Linked DNA regions of Lepisosteus oculatus. The protein of the gene in region 2 binds, or shares a complex with, the protein of the main gene of each other region. Links are inferred from orthologs where the notes say so. Each region holds a gene or a part of one and is shown on either strand. Other genes may lie near its edges. The genes, in order: adat2 and adat3.

Region 1 (8,291 bases), on a different chromosome or scaffold from region 2:
CAGTGTGTGGTAATTCATCTTCAGGGATGTTGAGCACTGACCCACAGCCACCAAACCTCTCATTTTTGCAACCATAAACCACTAGTGGGATTTCTGTTAAAATGTTAAGGCCATTAAAACTTTTCTGGAACAAAAATGTCTGTATTCTCTATATTAACAATTTAATTAAGAAATGATGTATTTTCTCTTTTATTTTTTCTTCTGTATTATCACAACTAGTATACACAACTACTATAGTTAAATCTTATCAAATCCCTCTAAAAAAAAGTATTCTTAAATCTCCCATTTGCTGTATAATTTACTAGGTGTTGTGCCACTTGTGAAATTAAGGAATACTGAAGGTCTGCAATTCCTACCCTTTTTTAACATCTAATCTTGCAAAAAAAGTAAATTGGTCTCCCACCAGTAATATTATAGATGAGTTTCTTTAATTCATGTGATAATTCCTGCATGTCTGCAAAATATAACCTGTCTATAGGCAGTCACAAATGTTTTAATATATCGTATAAACTTAATAATGTAGCATAACGCTAAACAGTTTCATTCAGTACACTTGATTTTCTTCTTCCTTTAATAATGATATAACAAATAATAGTCCTCAGAGAATAACTTTTGCAGGGATTCTTAAATAGTAAAGGAAGCCATCCCTTTGTTTGAATAAAGGATCAGCAGTTTCACTTTAAGCCGGATCATTGTGGTAAATTTTTGCATTTTGCGGGATGTGTATCACAACAGTCTGGATTGGACTAGACTTAAGAGTTACTCAAAGGCGTCGGGCAGGATACTCAATAAACGAAGTGCTCCCGCACACATAATGCACGGCTCCACAGTGACATACAGGACAGTCTGGTCCAACACCTCTCTGGAATCCCTGCCATTGTCACGACACCACTCCAGTACCTGGTCCAACGCTACCATCTCTGCATGCCGTGTTGCCTGCAACACACAAAGGAAAAACAGGTGAATGGACTACTAGAGCCCTATCTTGTTTCTAAGTTTCAAATAGTTAATTAACTTTCTTTTCTCATGTTAACAGGTGTATGTTAACTGGACGCACTGGCAAAATGTATGTAAATCCCAGTCCAGTAACACAGGAGATTTCAGCTTTGAGCCTCACAGAGTTCCTACGCCAATCTCATATGACTTCCATTTGCCATTTTCTGAATATACAGGCATATCACTGAAATAGAACTATGATTTTTCTTACGACATAAAACAGCAGTACAAAAAAACTGATCCTCAGTGAAGAGCTACAAGTACAAATAATCCTACAGCAGACAAGTTGTCTTCTCCACTCTAGTACTTTTAAATTATGTGCATCAATGCCTGGATGAGCCTAGAGGATGGGAAGTGGAACTTACGTTTTTTGTTTCGTTGACTTCATTTCTCCCTTTTCCCAAAATCTCATTGTTGTACACCATGAGACATCCCACAGGCACCTCTCCATTCTCTAAGGCTTCTTTAGACTGGAAAATTGCAAAAACAAAGGGTCAGGGTCTTGTTTCCATCCATCAATCCATTTTCTAAATGCGTTGTCCAATTCAGGGTTGTGAGGGAGCCAGAGCCTATCCTGGTAGGCAGTGGGTACAAGGAAGAACACCTCCAGGACAAGGACACCAGGCACACACACACACACACACACACACACACACACACACACACACACACTCATATCGTGGGCCAACTGTGCCAGAAGCCAATTAATCTATGGGTAGGTCTTTGTCTGTGAGAGGAAACTGGAGCACCAGAAAGAAAACTCACAGTAACAAGGGGAGAACTCCAGGTCTAGCAAGGAGCCCGGGGTCCTAGAACTGCAGGGCAGCAATGCTAACCACAGAGCCACCCTGGATATTGTTTCCAATTAATTTAAATCTTGAGCTATAAATTGAAAGAGCTATAAAGTTTGTTTGTTTTTTCCTTGCTACCAGTTCATCTTGCCCCAATTCAGACAAAAATACAGACTTCTATTGTTTCATTCTTGGCTACAGTGATAGGGAATAATCCATCTCTTACAGACAATTTGTTCCAGGAAAAAATCAAATTGCACAAACTATACTGTAGAAAGCAAACATGCTGTATCACATTACATTAAATATTTTCACACTATGCCCATTGATGTTTGAGTAGTTATTTAGACAACAGATAAACACGCATTGCGAGCATACTGTACTATAAATACCGTTCTTACCATATCGAAAGCTCTCTGCATCCAGCCCTGTATTTCTTCCGAAGAGGGCTGAAAGTGGTTAGTACTTTTCTCGCCCGGAAAACTTTCTTCATATTCCGTCCCCATCATGGATTACCCTAAAGGTTTGACACACAAAAACTCTGAAAAGGTTAACAAAATATCGAGTAGAAATAATCTTAAATGGGTTAAAACTGTGAGTTGGAAGTACACATCAAACACAAGGCATGTCAATGGCTCCAAAGACTAATACTGTATAATGTGAGGAGATAAACGCATCCAGTTTTTATCAAGATTTGATAAAAGTGACTCTCTGTTGTTGTTTAACGTTTGTTATTAAAAACAGATTTACCTAAAACAATTTTAAAAGCACGGTGAAAATATTTAAAGGTTTTATTCAGTTAGTACTTCGACCGACTAAAACGAAATCACGTAATTTTAACACACTTTTCTTTATATATAATACATTTAGATGTATTTAACACGTCAAACTTTAATAAACTCGAAGTGTTTGAAGTGTGGTAAATGAACCATTCAACTGTATATTGGAGAAAAATGAAAACCAAGAGAGAAACAGTATTTCACATTACACATTACTTACTATAAAACCGGAACCCTGTGTTTCGTCGCAGTTTCACAGGGGGTAGATACTGTTTGTGGGGCAGGCATTGCTAGATGATCACCGATGTACAGAGCGTTGTAAGCGGTGTTTAGCTTATCTAGTTCTCATGTACGATTGTGAAAATAAATCTGTCAACGCGGAAAAAACCTGTAGTCTGGCATCTGCCTCAAGTCGGAGGAAATGTTTATGTCCACGTGGAGTTTCCTTAAACGTCATAAAAGAAAATTTATATTTGCAGGGGCTTTAGTCGGAGGTAAATATTTTCATGTATCGTGTTGTCTTAAATTTGCATTTTAGTCATTCACATTACGCCACTAGCAGCGTCAGTAATATCGAGGGTAAAGGTACTTAGTATCCCATAAAGTTGATCATAATGTAGCACCCCGTATCTGAAGGTGTCGAGAAGTCATGCCTGCTGAGGTGACAACAGTAGTTTGCTCTTCAGGTGTCGACAAAGCCTGTTGTGAATTGCAAAGATGGAAAAGCAAGTATTACATTAGCGTACTGTTAAATCTGTATTATATAGGTTACAGTAACAGTGATAAAGTCAGTTAAGTGATGACAATAACATACAGTACAATTTAATTTATTTTCTTTCTCTTTTTCGAAGGGGTTTACCTACTGGGTAAATATGCGCAGAGGAAAATCAGAGAAATTCAGGAGAGAGAAGCAGCAGAGTACATTGCGCAAGCCCGACGTCAGTATCACTTCGAAAGTAACCAAAGAACGTGTAACATGACAGGTAACGTCAACATGCCTGCATCACATCACCAGAAACATAAGCAAAGATTAAGCTTAATTCTAATATCCCGTGTCTCTGCTACACACAGTTATCCTTCAACGTTTTTTTCTTCAAATTTGAATATATAATAATATCTAATATGTATCAATAGTATACAGAAATAACACAAGAAAGGTTACCAGTGAAAGGAAGCCATTTGCCCCTTCCAGCCAGTATGGTGAGAGATTGAACTGAGGATAATATCCACCCATTTCTTGAAAGAAGCCGGGGTAATAGCTTCAACAGTGTGGTTGGCTAGCTTGTTTCCATCAACCTTTTGGGGGAAAAGTGCCTCCTGTTTTTTGTTTTATACTTCCTCGTAGTTTCCACTTGTGCCGTCTGTTTGTTGATTCTGAAGAAATCCACTGGGGTTGCTTTGTCAGTGATTTGGCGACTGAGTACTAGGATCAAGTCCCCTTGTAGTCTTTTCTGCTCAAGACTAAAAAAGTTAAGCTCTTTTAGTCTGTCAGTGTAGGACACTCCCGTAAGCCCCAGAATGGATCTGGTTGCTCTTCTCTGGACGGATTCAAGAGCAGCAGTATCTCTTTTGTAATGTCTTGACCAAAACTGTACATAATATTCAAAATTAAGCCTTACTAGTTCATTGTGTAGTTTTAACATAACATGCTTTGATTCAAATCCTACTTTTAATTATTTATTCTTATATTTTGATGCTTTTTTATCGCTTACCTAGATGATGTAATTGATGTCTACATAAACACTTCAGTCTTCTGCCAGAAGTAATCTCTTCTAACTCAGCATTTCTCTTTTTGTATTTCGAGTTGAGATTTTTACTATGCGCAGGTAGTATTCTGCACTTGTCTACATTATATATCACCTGCCAGATATTTGCCCAGTTTTGTTTTTTATCTGAATCTTATTTTAATTATATTTGCTTATCTAGTATTTGCAAACCGTACTACTTTGGTTGCATCTGCAAACCTGATCAGTTTACTCACTATACAGAAACTAGATAGATGATATAACTTTGGAAGAGCTGTATTCCTAGTACAGACCCTATAGTGTTATAATTGCATCACCCCAATTTTAGCCTTTACTCCCTATCATTTACTCCCTCTCTGTTTTCTATTAACCAGTTCTCAATGCAAATACACACATTTCACAGAATGCCTACTACCTATAATTTGAAAATTAAACATTAATGGGTAACTTATGGATAAAAAACCTGACAGCATAAATATTCTATGATATTCTCTGTGTGTGTAGATTACTTTTGTTCATTATTCAACTATCTCTAACGAGTTAGCAAAGAAAAAACTAATTTTCTAGACTATCTGTAATTATTTTCCCATGTAAGTGGTTGTCTAATTTAGTAAGATTTTTTTTAACTAACTTCATATGCAATAAAGGTCAGACTTATTGGTCTGTAATTACTTGGTTCTGTTTTTAAACAATGGGCCCTATGTTAGCAATTCTCAACTCCATGGGAACTACCCATGCTTGTACTGCTTGTACTTGCTCACAGTGTATTGAGCTGTGGTGAACATAGGACAAATTTGTTTTGACCACTTAAGCAGGTGATTTGTTTGGTTAGGTAGTGTAGTAAACATAAATGAAAAAAATGAATATCCCAATGCATCCTTATCTACAATGTGTCCTTGTAGTTCTCAACAACCACAGTGCCTCAGCTGAACCAATTAACGTACAAACCTGATCAAAGCACACGTTCTCAATTGCTGTGCATTCAAATTACGAAGACTAACTGACGCGCATAACAGCAGAGTTACAAACTTCTAGCCTGATCTCAGAAGCTAAGCACGGCCAGGCTTACTCAGAACCAGGCTGAAAGACTTCAAAGTCAGGGCTTTCATTCCATCTGAGCTCGACATCTCCAGTGCTGAGTATCTGCAGTATCTTCAGCAGACAGAATGTTAAGCTGCCTCTCCTCACCTTGCTGAGCCTTATTTCTGTCGAAACAGCACTTAACATGCAGTCAGTTTCTGATCAGCAGCCACTCTCACGGTTAGCTGCATTTCCTTCTTTAGTTGGCTCCTCTCAGATAACGCACCGGAAAGCAGGCAGTTGTGAAACCCAGGAACTGGTGCTGCACTGGTATCAATTCCCAATCCTATGTGGCCTTTAAAAAGATTTGAAAGCAAATTTATAAATAAATCAGTGCCTCCAGAGTAGTGCTTTACCGGGAATGGTGCTCATCTTCTGACCTGTACTGTCACGGATTTTGATCCATTATTATCTGTGTCGCTGGTCCAGAATTCCTCAAGCAGGGACACTATGATTAAGGACTGGAATGTAGTAGAAACAAGAAGAGAGAGTGTTCCCCAGGCAGAGCTGGGAACCTCAGCTCTAAAGCTGACCACAGTAGGTTGTACAGCAGGTTACTGCTCTAAGTGCTGTGGGTGGGCCACTAGATGGCACTCTCACCTCCCTGTTGACCAGAATTTGCAGCGCTCTGGTAAGGGGACAGGGGACACTGTGCTGTTGTACAGTATGTGCCATCCTTGAAACATTAAAGATGTTCATAAGACTAGAGTTGCTCGCCCTGATGCTCTGGCTAAATTTTATCTAGGCTTCCACAGTCCCTCCATCCTAAACTTAATGTCTAAACTGTGTTAACACACCAGTAGGGCAAGTACCCCATATTCTGTACACACTAGTAAGCCTACATTTAGAATATTGTGTACATTTTTTTGTCACCATGCTGTAGAAAAGATATAGCTGCTCTGGAATCCGTCCAGAGAAGAGCAACTAGGTACGTTCCAGGGCTTAAGGAAATACACCACACTAGCACAGAAAAGACTAGGGGAGTATCAACAATTATTCAAAATCCTCAAAGGCACTGACAAAAGTCAACTCAGTGGATTTTGTTTTCTGAAAGAGCAGTGAAACATGGACTGGAAGACATAAGTGGTAACTGCATGAAAGTGCATTTAAAACTAATAACAACAAGCAGTTCTTTACATCCAGGGTTTTTGGAGTATGGTAACATGGTTATCCAGCCATGTGGTTGAAGTCAATACTTTTTTTTTTTTTTTTCAAGAAACAACTGGATGAGATTCTTGGATCATTATGTTCTTATGTTCTTGATGTGATTTGTAATTTTTTTATATTGAAAGCACTATATAAGAATTATTACTATGTATATTTTTAAGAGGAATATTAGTCTAGCCAAGGTTTGTGACCCTGGGAAATTTGGCATAAGATTTTTCCCAGGAAAATACATTTGCTTTCCACGTTGTTACCATATTGCTTTGTCTTTTTTTGTTGTCAGTGTTATCAATGCTCCCAACTCTAAGAGATGCCATTATACAACACCTGCATTCAGAAAGCCTCACAGCTTTGCTAAAGAACAAGTGAGTAATTCAAGATGTGTCATTTTGTTTAAAAATGAGTAAAGCGCATAACAGGGCTGACAATGTTCTTGTCATGCAGATGATAAAAAGCTATTGTTTTCTGTTTTAGGCCAGCAAATAAGTTAGAAATCTGGGAAGATCTGAAGATAATCAGTAAGTTCCATTCTTTCTATTTAATACTGGGTATTATTATTATGTTGTAAGTATTGTACAATTACTGAATTTTACTGCTCCTACACGATTGTACAAAGAGTTACATATTCTGTTTCTGAAGAATGCTAATGCTACATTACATGAGAGGACTCTGTTTGGCCCATCTTGGTAAAACAGGTTGGGGTGTGGACAGTAACATACAGAAGATTTTACTTTAAATTGTAGCTTTTGTTGTTATTAGTACAAAGTTAAGGAATGTTGAATGACTTTTTAAGGGGGGTTCTGAATTAGAATTGTTCGGTTATAATGCCACAGATGGTAGCTTCACACCATGAGCTCCTCAGCTAAGCACTGAGGCTGAATGACTGGGCTTGTCGTTGGCTGTACTGAGCAGGCGTGCTGTAGCCTACAGCACTAGAAGGGTTTTTTTCTGTCTGCCTTCGATTCCTTAAAATCTGAAATGACACTTATTCCCCGATTGAGTTTGACAGTCTGGGGTTAATTTCCTTTTCCCACTCTCTGCCAGGTTTCGCTAGAAGCATAGTAGCCGTTTACAGCACCTGCATGCTGGTTATTCTTCTACGAGTTCAGCTCAACATCATTGGGGGTTACATATACCTAGATAACTCTGTCAGCAAGAATGGAACGGTAGGTATTCTTTTGTGAAGCAGAGCCTCCGGTATGGACCTAAGGCATGTCGAGAACACAGCACTGGATTGATTTGTCCTTTGGTACCCTTTCACAAATTTGTGTTGCTACAGATGTTTCTCAACCCCACATACTGTGTAATATGCTTGGATGAGAGGGCTTGTTTATCACTGAACCTGTTACATAATGCAATGTTATCCCCTTTAGACCTGTATAGCATTAAACCTACCTGTGGAGGGAGGCTGCATGATTCTTTACTGTCTGGCAAAGTGACACTCAGTGGTCCTGAAGCCAGATGCCTATGAAAGGTCTGATCAGATCCCAGCAGGGGTGCCAAGCTGCATGCATCACACTTATAACGCTATTTTTGTAGTGTCAGGTCTGTTGACACATCTAGGAAGAGCAACAAGAATTAAAAAAAGCAACAATGCAATCAGCGTATTGCAGGTATTCTACCATTGTAGCAGTTTATTAAGTAGTGTTTACAGAATGTAAAATAATAAATAGTTTATTCTTTCCCACTGCATTGTAGATCTAATGTAATTATTCGGACACATTATTATTATTATT
Region 2 (7,931 bases):
AATTTTACAGATATTTTCTGGCCAGCTTCTACACAAAGTATGATACAGCACACTTTATTATAAACACAGCTTCTCTTTTAAGTGTGCTTATCCCAAAATTGCCGCAGTTACATGGAGTCCGAATCTTTGGCATCAACAAATATTAAACTGGAGTGTCTAAAAGTTGCCATTTTGTGACCAATGCTCCAATTAGATATTGTTTTTACATGGCGAGATGAATTGGTAACCTGCTGTACATTGTACCCCAGTAGTGTGTACTAAGCAGTTTTGTACAGTGTCTATTTGCCACTTTCATTCTTTAAATGCATTTGGAAAAAACATGTCAGGGACTTTGTAAGAGGCAAATGCATTACTGCACTTACATGTGCATTACTAACTTAAATGACTATTTAACGCTGGATTTCTTTAAAGAACTGGGCAGGCCCCGTTCTTAGACTTGAAGCATTTTCATGAAGTGTAGTGTTTGTTGCTTGGGGTCTTTGCCCACTGCATCCAGAATGGTGCTGGTACTGAAGAGTCCATTCAGATTAATCTTTGAGAGAGGCACTCTGCCCACAAGCCACGGAAAATATACTTTTTACAGATCATTTGTTCATTTGAATAAGGGCCTGTGATTCAACTTAAGATGATGCTGTTTTTATTTAATGTTGTTACTTTGCTCATTAGGGCTTAAATTATGGAGGAAACAATTTGTTTTGCATGTTTTTTTTTTCCACTGACTGAATTGTCTGTACACATTGTTAGAAAATTTAAAAAAATACATTTTCTGTCTACAGAACAATGTAAGCAAATTTTTAGTTTTGTGTAAGACTATAAGTTTCAATTCTTAAGGGTGAACTTGGATTCAAGATTTCTTTTAAAGCACTGTTCTTTCAGAAGACTTTAACTGAAAATGTTGTATTTTTGAAACTTATGTGGCTGTATGTTTGTAAGACATGTTTATGGACCTTTTTAAAGCTCTTCGTTATTGCTGAGGCAGCTAGCCCTTGCAGGTCTGCTCATCCAAGGTGTTCTTGGAGCTTTTCAACAGCCTGTTTACTTATGACAATAAAATCATTTGTGCCCTTCAAGAAATTAGTGTATTTCTTTGTTTATGGTAAAGCTCTGCTGAATATGGACTCATTACATAAAATATGGCATCCAAAGAAGTATGGTTATGAATAATTTTATTTTTGTAAAGAGGCATCAGTCTCAGGCACTTTGGTTTGTTCTGTTAAGAGTCACTATACATTTAAGAACAGCCTCTTTCTAAGATTACTTAGAAAAGAAAACTTAGACAGAAATAGACAAACTGTTTTACTATTCACTGGATAAAACAAAATAAGTAACAGTTAAAAAAAGATTTTAGTTCTAAATAACTCATTATTCTAAGAGACAAAAAAGAAACATGCACATTCATACATTTGAAAAAGAATATAACTTCAATTGGGTCCATACCAAAGGGCTTAAAAATGAGTTTCTAAAAAATGTTTCATCTTTAAAAAATACAGTGACTTCACAGCAGTAACACATCCTACCTAGCAAACTTACACCTGTTTTTTGTGCATCTGCATCTCTCTATATGATTTAACAGAAATGTGAAAGTTGTTAACTCAAATCTAGCACAGAATTGGTTACAATGTCTCCAAAACCAAATCCATATCCAGTGAGTCTACTGGAACATGATTTAATTGATGCAATGTAGTGAGCTTTACACAATCCTGTTCCATAATTCCTTTAAAAACTTCAAAACGGTGATTCAGATCTTTCTGGGTATGAATTTTGTATTTGGTTCCTAACGCTCCATCTAATGATGCAGTTCCATAGAAGACCCTCTGTATTCTAGAGTGAACCAGAGCCATTGCACACATTACACATGGTTCTCTTGTTACATACAGATCATAACCAGTGCAAATATATGGCAACCCACTCTCCTTTGACTGCTCTGAGATATACATGTCCTTGGAGGGCAGACAGCTACTTTTAGCCTGATCTTTCGAGTTATCTACTTTAAAGAAACAACAGGCAGTGTACTTATCATAACTATAAGCCCCACCACCTTGGCCATGTGCCACAAGGTCAATGCATACCATAACAGCATGAAGCAAAGGGTGAGGACTATTCCTGCAGTCATGGCCCACAGCAAGGACTCTCTCCTCCTCCGGATCAACAACAACAGCACCTACAGCTTCCATGCCTTCTCCTTGTCCGATTTTTGCTGCTGTAATAGCCAACTTCATGTACGTCTCCATCTTTGTTTTCTGAGCAGCAGTAAACAGCTCCCCATTCAGTGCCACTGTAACCTGTTTGTCTTCATGGAAGGAAGTGGGCCAGTGCCTGCTGGCTTTTTCAAACTGAGGTCTAGTCAAAGGAGGACATGCTGGTATTTTCACTATAAATGGTTCACCTAAACCCCTGCTGTCCACAGTGGCATTAGACAAAAGAGCAGAGATAGACAGCTCTTGGTTTTTTCGACTGTGTCCAATATCTCTCGCCAGACACAAAATCATTTCCAAAGGATGTGGGCTTTCTTTGTCTTTGCATGCACGTACCCTCTTAATATGGTTCAGGCCTTGTAAGGGGTATATGGCACTCAGCTCCTTCACAAGACGAGAGGTTTCTCTCTTATCAAGAATAGGCACAGCATAGGCTTCCAGTAAATCAATGTCTTGGGACTGCTCATCAGAAAGAACAGGTAAGATGGCCCAGGCCATCACTTCACCTTCTGTTTTTCTGCGTTTGCACTGTGGTTCCATTAAAACCTGTCAAAACAAGGGATGCTTAAACTCTTAAGAAGCAGAAATGCAAAATGTTGGGCAAGGAAGCAGTACATTATGCTGAGAGTTTGCTGACTTTCTTCCTTTATAAAATCCCGATATGAATATCTACAATCTGCCAAAGGAATTTTCTTTACATGTAGACCAATTTCACGACTGAGTCATGGACAAAGCCCATTTTTGCCTTAAATTTAAAAACAACACAACTGGGCTTATCATATTGTATATTTATGTTTATGTAAATGGTAATATATACTGATGTCCTAAAAAATATCTAAAATGCTGCATTTTACAAATTTATGTTTAGTTCAAATCACGGGATCCTTTTTCTAAACTTCAGCAAATGTTATTTTAACAACGAATAAAACCTCATATTTTGTCATTACCGTCTTTCTCCTATATAGTTCCTGTACTACGTAGACACTAAAAATTAAACTTCTATAAAATAATTTCACGTAAGACAAAAATACTTATAATGTACCATAAGACCCAGTATAAGTTTATAAATATGCACATACAAAATATTTAGTCTTAACGTCTTCAAATCTCAACTAAATCTAAAACGTTTTTTATTACAAATTCAATTAACACAAACATTATATTAAGTCTAAAGGGTTATAAACAAGTTTCAATTTAAATAATAAAATGTAATATGCAATTGCTGTTCAGATGCTCCTACGAAGTACGAGTTTAAAAATTGTTTGTAGAAGCTTTTTTCAGTTTTACCATTAACTTACCTATATACACCCTAAAAACAAAAAGCAATACCGAAACGGATTCAACACAGAAAATCAAAAAAAGAGGTCATAATTTCAAAAAGTAGATGTATTTTATGGCTACAATCCCTTTCACGTTCTCACTGTTGCACGTGTATAATGTGCCCTTCCGGCAACAATTGGTACACATCTTTGGTTCCTGTATAGTATTAATTTTCCGCTCCTAACTTTCGGATGATTTTTAGTTAAAAAAGAACCTATCATAAAATTACGTCGGATGGTCAATATATTTATTTGAAAATTCTAAAAACAGTACAGGCAACGCAAATGGAACGCGCATTTCGGTGTTTGTTTCTAATGGGAAATATTTACACGGGGGACTAATTGCCGCTGGACGCATGAGAGGTTGTGAGAATTAATGGAATTAAGGATCGGAGAAAAGAAATAGTCACGGTCGTATTAAAATAATGAGTAGCGTATGTTATATTATATAACTCATGTCACTGTTATCTTGTTTCGGTGCACGATTGTGTGGCTTGGCTTTTCAAAGAGCTACTGTTACTGAACCTCATCAATGGAAACTAAAAGAAGTGCTTTCTTGGGCTTCATACAGAACTACATGTATTCGTACGGTTAGCCACCATCGAGTCGTTTTAGGTGTAGAAACCAGCTGTGATGACACAGGAGCCGCCGTGATGGATGAGACCGGTTCAGTCCTCGGAGAATCTTTATATTCTCAGAAAGAAGTGCATTTGAAGTAGGTGCATCACCTTATTCTGACCTTGAAACAATTGACACAGGCTGTCAACTGAACAATTTCTCATTTCAAAAGTTGCCTAAAGAAGGGATTTTACCCATCTATTACCAATAGAATTACACATAAAAACAAAAAAATTCTTCATAAAATATGATAAAATATTAATGAAAACAATAATTTCCACTATAATTTGTATGTAATGTTTTTCTATTTAAACTAAGCTTATATATAAACCATTACCAATTCTCAACTCTTGCATAGAGCACTGCTTGCTTGTATGCCTAACTTTTCTGGTTCTCCTTTTTCTCACTTTTTGCAGCTCACTTCCTGCACGTCATACTCAAGTGGCATCACATATAAAATCCGTCTTCTGTTCCCCATTACATTCATTTTCTAACTGCTTCTTGTAATCCAGGGTCACAGGGGAGCCTGACCCTATCCAGGCAAGCAACAAACACAACACATGGTACATCCTGGACGAGATGCCAGTCCAATGGACAGACACAAACACACACATGTACATTAGTGTCAATATTCACAGAATCCAATTAACCCATCAGTATTGTAAGGAAACTGGATCACCTACAGGGAAACATACAAACTCCACATAGATAGCACCACAGGTCCAGAATTGGATCCAGGGTCCCAGCACTGCGAGGCAGCAATGCTAACCTCTCCTCCACTGTGTTGTCCTTGTCTCCACTCATTCCCTTTGTTTTATTGCACTTCTGTTTCTCTGCTCTATGACCCTTCCTGCTAATAACCTCAGAAATGATTTCCTGACATCCAGTGCACTACAGTTACACCAGGTACTGTACCCACCAGACCTAGTGGTCTTAATAATTTCTGACACACATCAGCTTTGCCTTTTCTTGTGAAATATTAGAACATGCTCTTGCAGTGCAACTGGTGGTCTCACTGTACATTTTACAAACTGTTTCAGTCTGGATTTAAAAAAAACTATATACACTAGCATTGAAACTGTTCTTGTTAAATATTCTTATTCTTTCTTCATGGCTATTGATTTTGGATGGTCTTTATTCTTTTAGACGTAGCGGATTAATTCTTTCCTTGATAAGCTTTGAATTTTTCTCTTGGTGGTTTTAGGTCTCGTGTTTGGTTGGTTAGTCTGGTGTTACACAGGAATTGAAATGAAGTAGAATTAGAAATGAGCCATTTCCTGTTTAATATTTATATGCTTACTCTAAGTTAAACATTAAAATTACATGGTTTGAATTATCATTTCTATGCAGAATATAATTCATTTTATGTCCAGACTAATCCTGATACCAAGTTTCAGTACTCTCCAATTACATTTCTGTAATAAATGTTTAGATGCAACAAAATGTTTTGCATCATAATTGTGAAAAGACAGAGGTCATTGTTCCCATCAGGTACATAAAACCAGTGCTGTAACAATTGTCAGTTGACAGCACTGTGCTTGAGTTTCACGCAAGATTTTGATGGGGATCCTTAATTCTGGATGGACTTTGAGACCTCATGGGCAGAATACTGTATAAATGTCTGTTTTTTTTTAGAAAAATTCCCAGGCTACTTTCTGTGTGTGTCTGTAACTGGTTTATGTGTTTGTACATGCAAAGATTGGAGTATTGCAAAGCCTTGCACGGAAGAGTCTCTATACCTACAAGGATATGACAGCATATTTGGAAATAACTATGTCACACATGTGCACATCACACAAGTATGGTTTTAAAATCCAGGTTTCAAGATGATTGTAAAATTCTTCTTACTCACAATCAAGGATGTACATGGTATAACTAGTCAGCATCTAGCCAATATGTTATCTGTTCACTCCCCTCAACGCAACCTTCACTCATGAGATTCTGGTTTACTGGGTGTTTCTATTGTTCGTCTACACTCTGTGGGTGACAGGACCTTCTATGGCTCCTAAGCTCTGGACCACTATCTTAAAAGACATCAGTGACTGTCCCACATTGGGTGCTTTTTAATCCAGCCTGAAAACCAACTTTTATAGAAACACATTTTGTGATGTTTTATGCTTTTTTGCCAATTTTTGTAAAGTGCTTTGAGATGATTACTTTTATAGGTTCTATATAATATCATTTTATTCTTACTATGTAACTACATATACACCATAACAAAACTTTGTAAATCAGAATTTTTTTAAATACAAATTCACCTTCCCCCTCATTTCTTACTTCAGATTTCCTTTCTGTATTAAATATGGTTTACAGGTCAAAACTGTGGTGTAACAATATGTGCAATAGTAATAGTGGTGTCATTTGTATGCATGTGTATATTTTGCTTTAGAACAGGTGGGATCATTCCAACAGTGGCCCAACGACTGCACAGGGAACACATAACGACAGTGATCCAGCAGGCCTTGGCCATGAGTGGAGTTACACCAAACGAGCTATCTGCTGTTGCAACCACAGTAAAACCGGGTCTAGCACTGAGCCTCGGGGTGGGCCTGGAGTACAGTCTGAAATTCGTACAGCAGTATAAAAAGCCATTCATCCCAATCCACCACATGGAAGCCCATGCACTGACTGTCAGAATGATTCACTCTGTCCAGTTCCCATTCCTCGTGCTCCTGGTGTCTGGGGGTCACTGTCTACTGGCAGTGGCTAATGGAATCGATGACTTTCTTCTCCTGGGACAATCACTGGATGAAGCGCCAGGAGACACTTTAGATAAAGTACGTAAAAATTTTGAATGTGCTCTCAGAAAGGGTCTGTTGAGGATTTTTTGAGCATTGTGTAAGTGGTTTCAAAACTGTAAGTCCACTTACCTGCACTGATAAACAGCTCAAATATTTCCAAAGAATGCAGTATTAATGGCAAATATAAAGAACATTCATCTTTTCCTTTGTGAGGGGTCTGTCTGGATGTTCTCCATTGCAGTTTTTCTATGTTATTGGAAAGAAGATGAAGCATCGGTGGCCCCTGTACATTACTGTCGTGAACAAATATTTGTACTTAAGAAATTCATATTTTGCTTCAGCATGAGCAAGTTGCAAAGGAAAAGGTAAAGGTTTATTCCATGCTGAAGGGAAAATAAAAGAGCATATTTATTTATACAATAGTAGAAGTACACAGAACAATATCTGTATGTTTTTTCAGATGTGTTTTTTCTTTTGTCTGTTTTGGTAATGTTTATACCCTGACTCTATTCCTATATACATTGCTGAAACATTCATAAATTATTCACTAAACTGAATAACCCAGTTGTCATTGACAGGTAGCAAGAAGACTATCCCTCATTAAACACCCAGAGTGCTCCACTTTAAGTGGTGGCCAGGCCATTGAGCATTTAGCTAAACAAGGCGACAGGCTAAAGTTTTACTTGAAGTCACCCATGGGCCAACATTTGGACTGCAACTTTTCCTTTGCTGGTCTTCGGAACCAAGTGACTCAGGTCATTATCAAAAAGGAAGAGGGGGAAGGTAAGCAAGCTTTTCTTTGTGGTAAACCTGAGATTTCTCCAGTTTGTGAAAAATTTCTAGTTTATGCCACCTCTTAGTTGAATTAGTAACAGGAGTGGTTACTCCTGCTGTGGACTACATCCTATTTGAAAAGCAGAACAAGGCTTCGGTCCCTGAAGGGTGTTAAACAGATGTGCCTTTATTGCAGGTGTACAAATGGGTCAGATGTTGTCCTGTGCTAATGACATTGCTGCTGCAGTGCAGCACACTGTGGCTTCCCATATCGCAAAGCGCAC

The links.
Region 1: the proteins of adat3 (region 2) and adat2 are in contact, whole or in part, in a crystal structure (PDB 9HMM), measured with the Mus musculus proteins. The link is inferred for Lepisosteus oculatus from reciprocal best matches to the Homo sapiens genes ADAT3 and ADAT2. Residues at the interface, in NP_001094076.1 of Mus musculus: Val217, Ala218, Pro220, Leu221, His223, Ile229, Asp230, Ala233, Gln236, Gly237, Glu270, Ser272, Pro274, Val276, Val290, Met291, Met294, Ala295, His298, Ala299, Pro311, Asp312, Leu318, Phe319, Val321, Arg324, Asp326, Leu327, Asn328, Pro349; in NP_080024.3 of Mus musculus: Val62, Asn63, Lys66, Asn67, Ala68, Thr69, His71, Met74, Ile77, Leu81, His85, Pro91, Cys107, Ile108, Met109, Ala112, Ala113, Leu116, Met117, Arg130, Phe131, Val137, Leu138, Ile140, Asp144, Leu145, Pro146, Asn147, Thr148.

What each region holds. Positions count from the first base shown.
Region 1 is NC_090697.1:18,898,203-18,906,493, reverse strand, and holds the start of adat2 (tRNA-specific adenosine deaminase 2), read right to left. Parts: upstream 3,212-8,291; 5' UTR 3,190-3,211; intron 3,061-3,189; coding exon of another isoform or gene 2,988-3,060; exon of another isoform or gene 2,975-2,987; intron 2,878-2,974; exon of another isoform or gene 2,787-2,877; intron 2,329-2,786; exon of another isoform or gene 2,311-2,328; coding exon of another isoform or gene 2,297-2,310; coding exon 2,189-2,296; intron 1,467-2,188; coding exon 1,362-1,466; intron 937-1,361; coding exon 786-936; intron 94-785; coding exon 1-93. Other genes in the region: pex3 (peroxisomal biogenesis factor 3), read left to right, coding at 3,216-3,291, 3,418-3,549, 6,839-6,920, 7,030-7,073, 7,600-7,721. UniProt on the Homo sapiens protein: Probably participates in deamination of adenosine-34 to inosine in many tRNAs.
Region 2 is NC_090707.1:20,772,885-20,780,815, reverse strand, and holds adat3 (probable inactive tRNA-specific adenosine deaminase-like protein 3), read right to left. Parts: upstream 3,648-7,931; 5' UTR 3,494-3,647; intron 2,742-3,493; 5' UTR 2,736-2,741; coding exon 1,614-2,735; 3' UTR 1,150-1,613; downstream 1-1,149. Other genes in the region: ormdl1 (ORM1-like protein 1), read left to right, coding at 11-146; osgepl1 (tRNA N6-adenosine threonylcarbamoyltransferase, mitochondrial), read left to right, coding at 3,970-4,229, 6,522-6,909, 7,452-7,656, 7,844-7,931.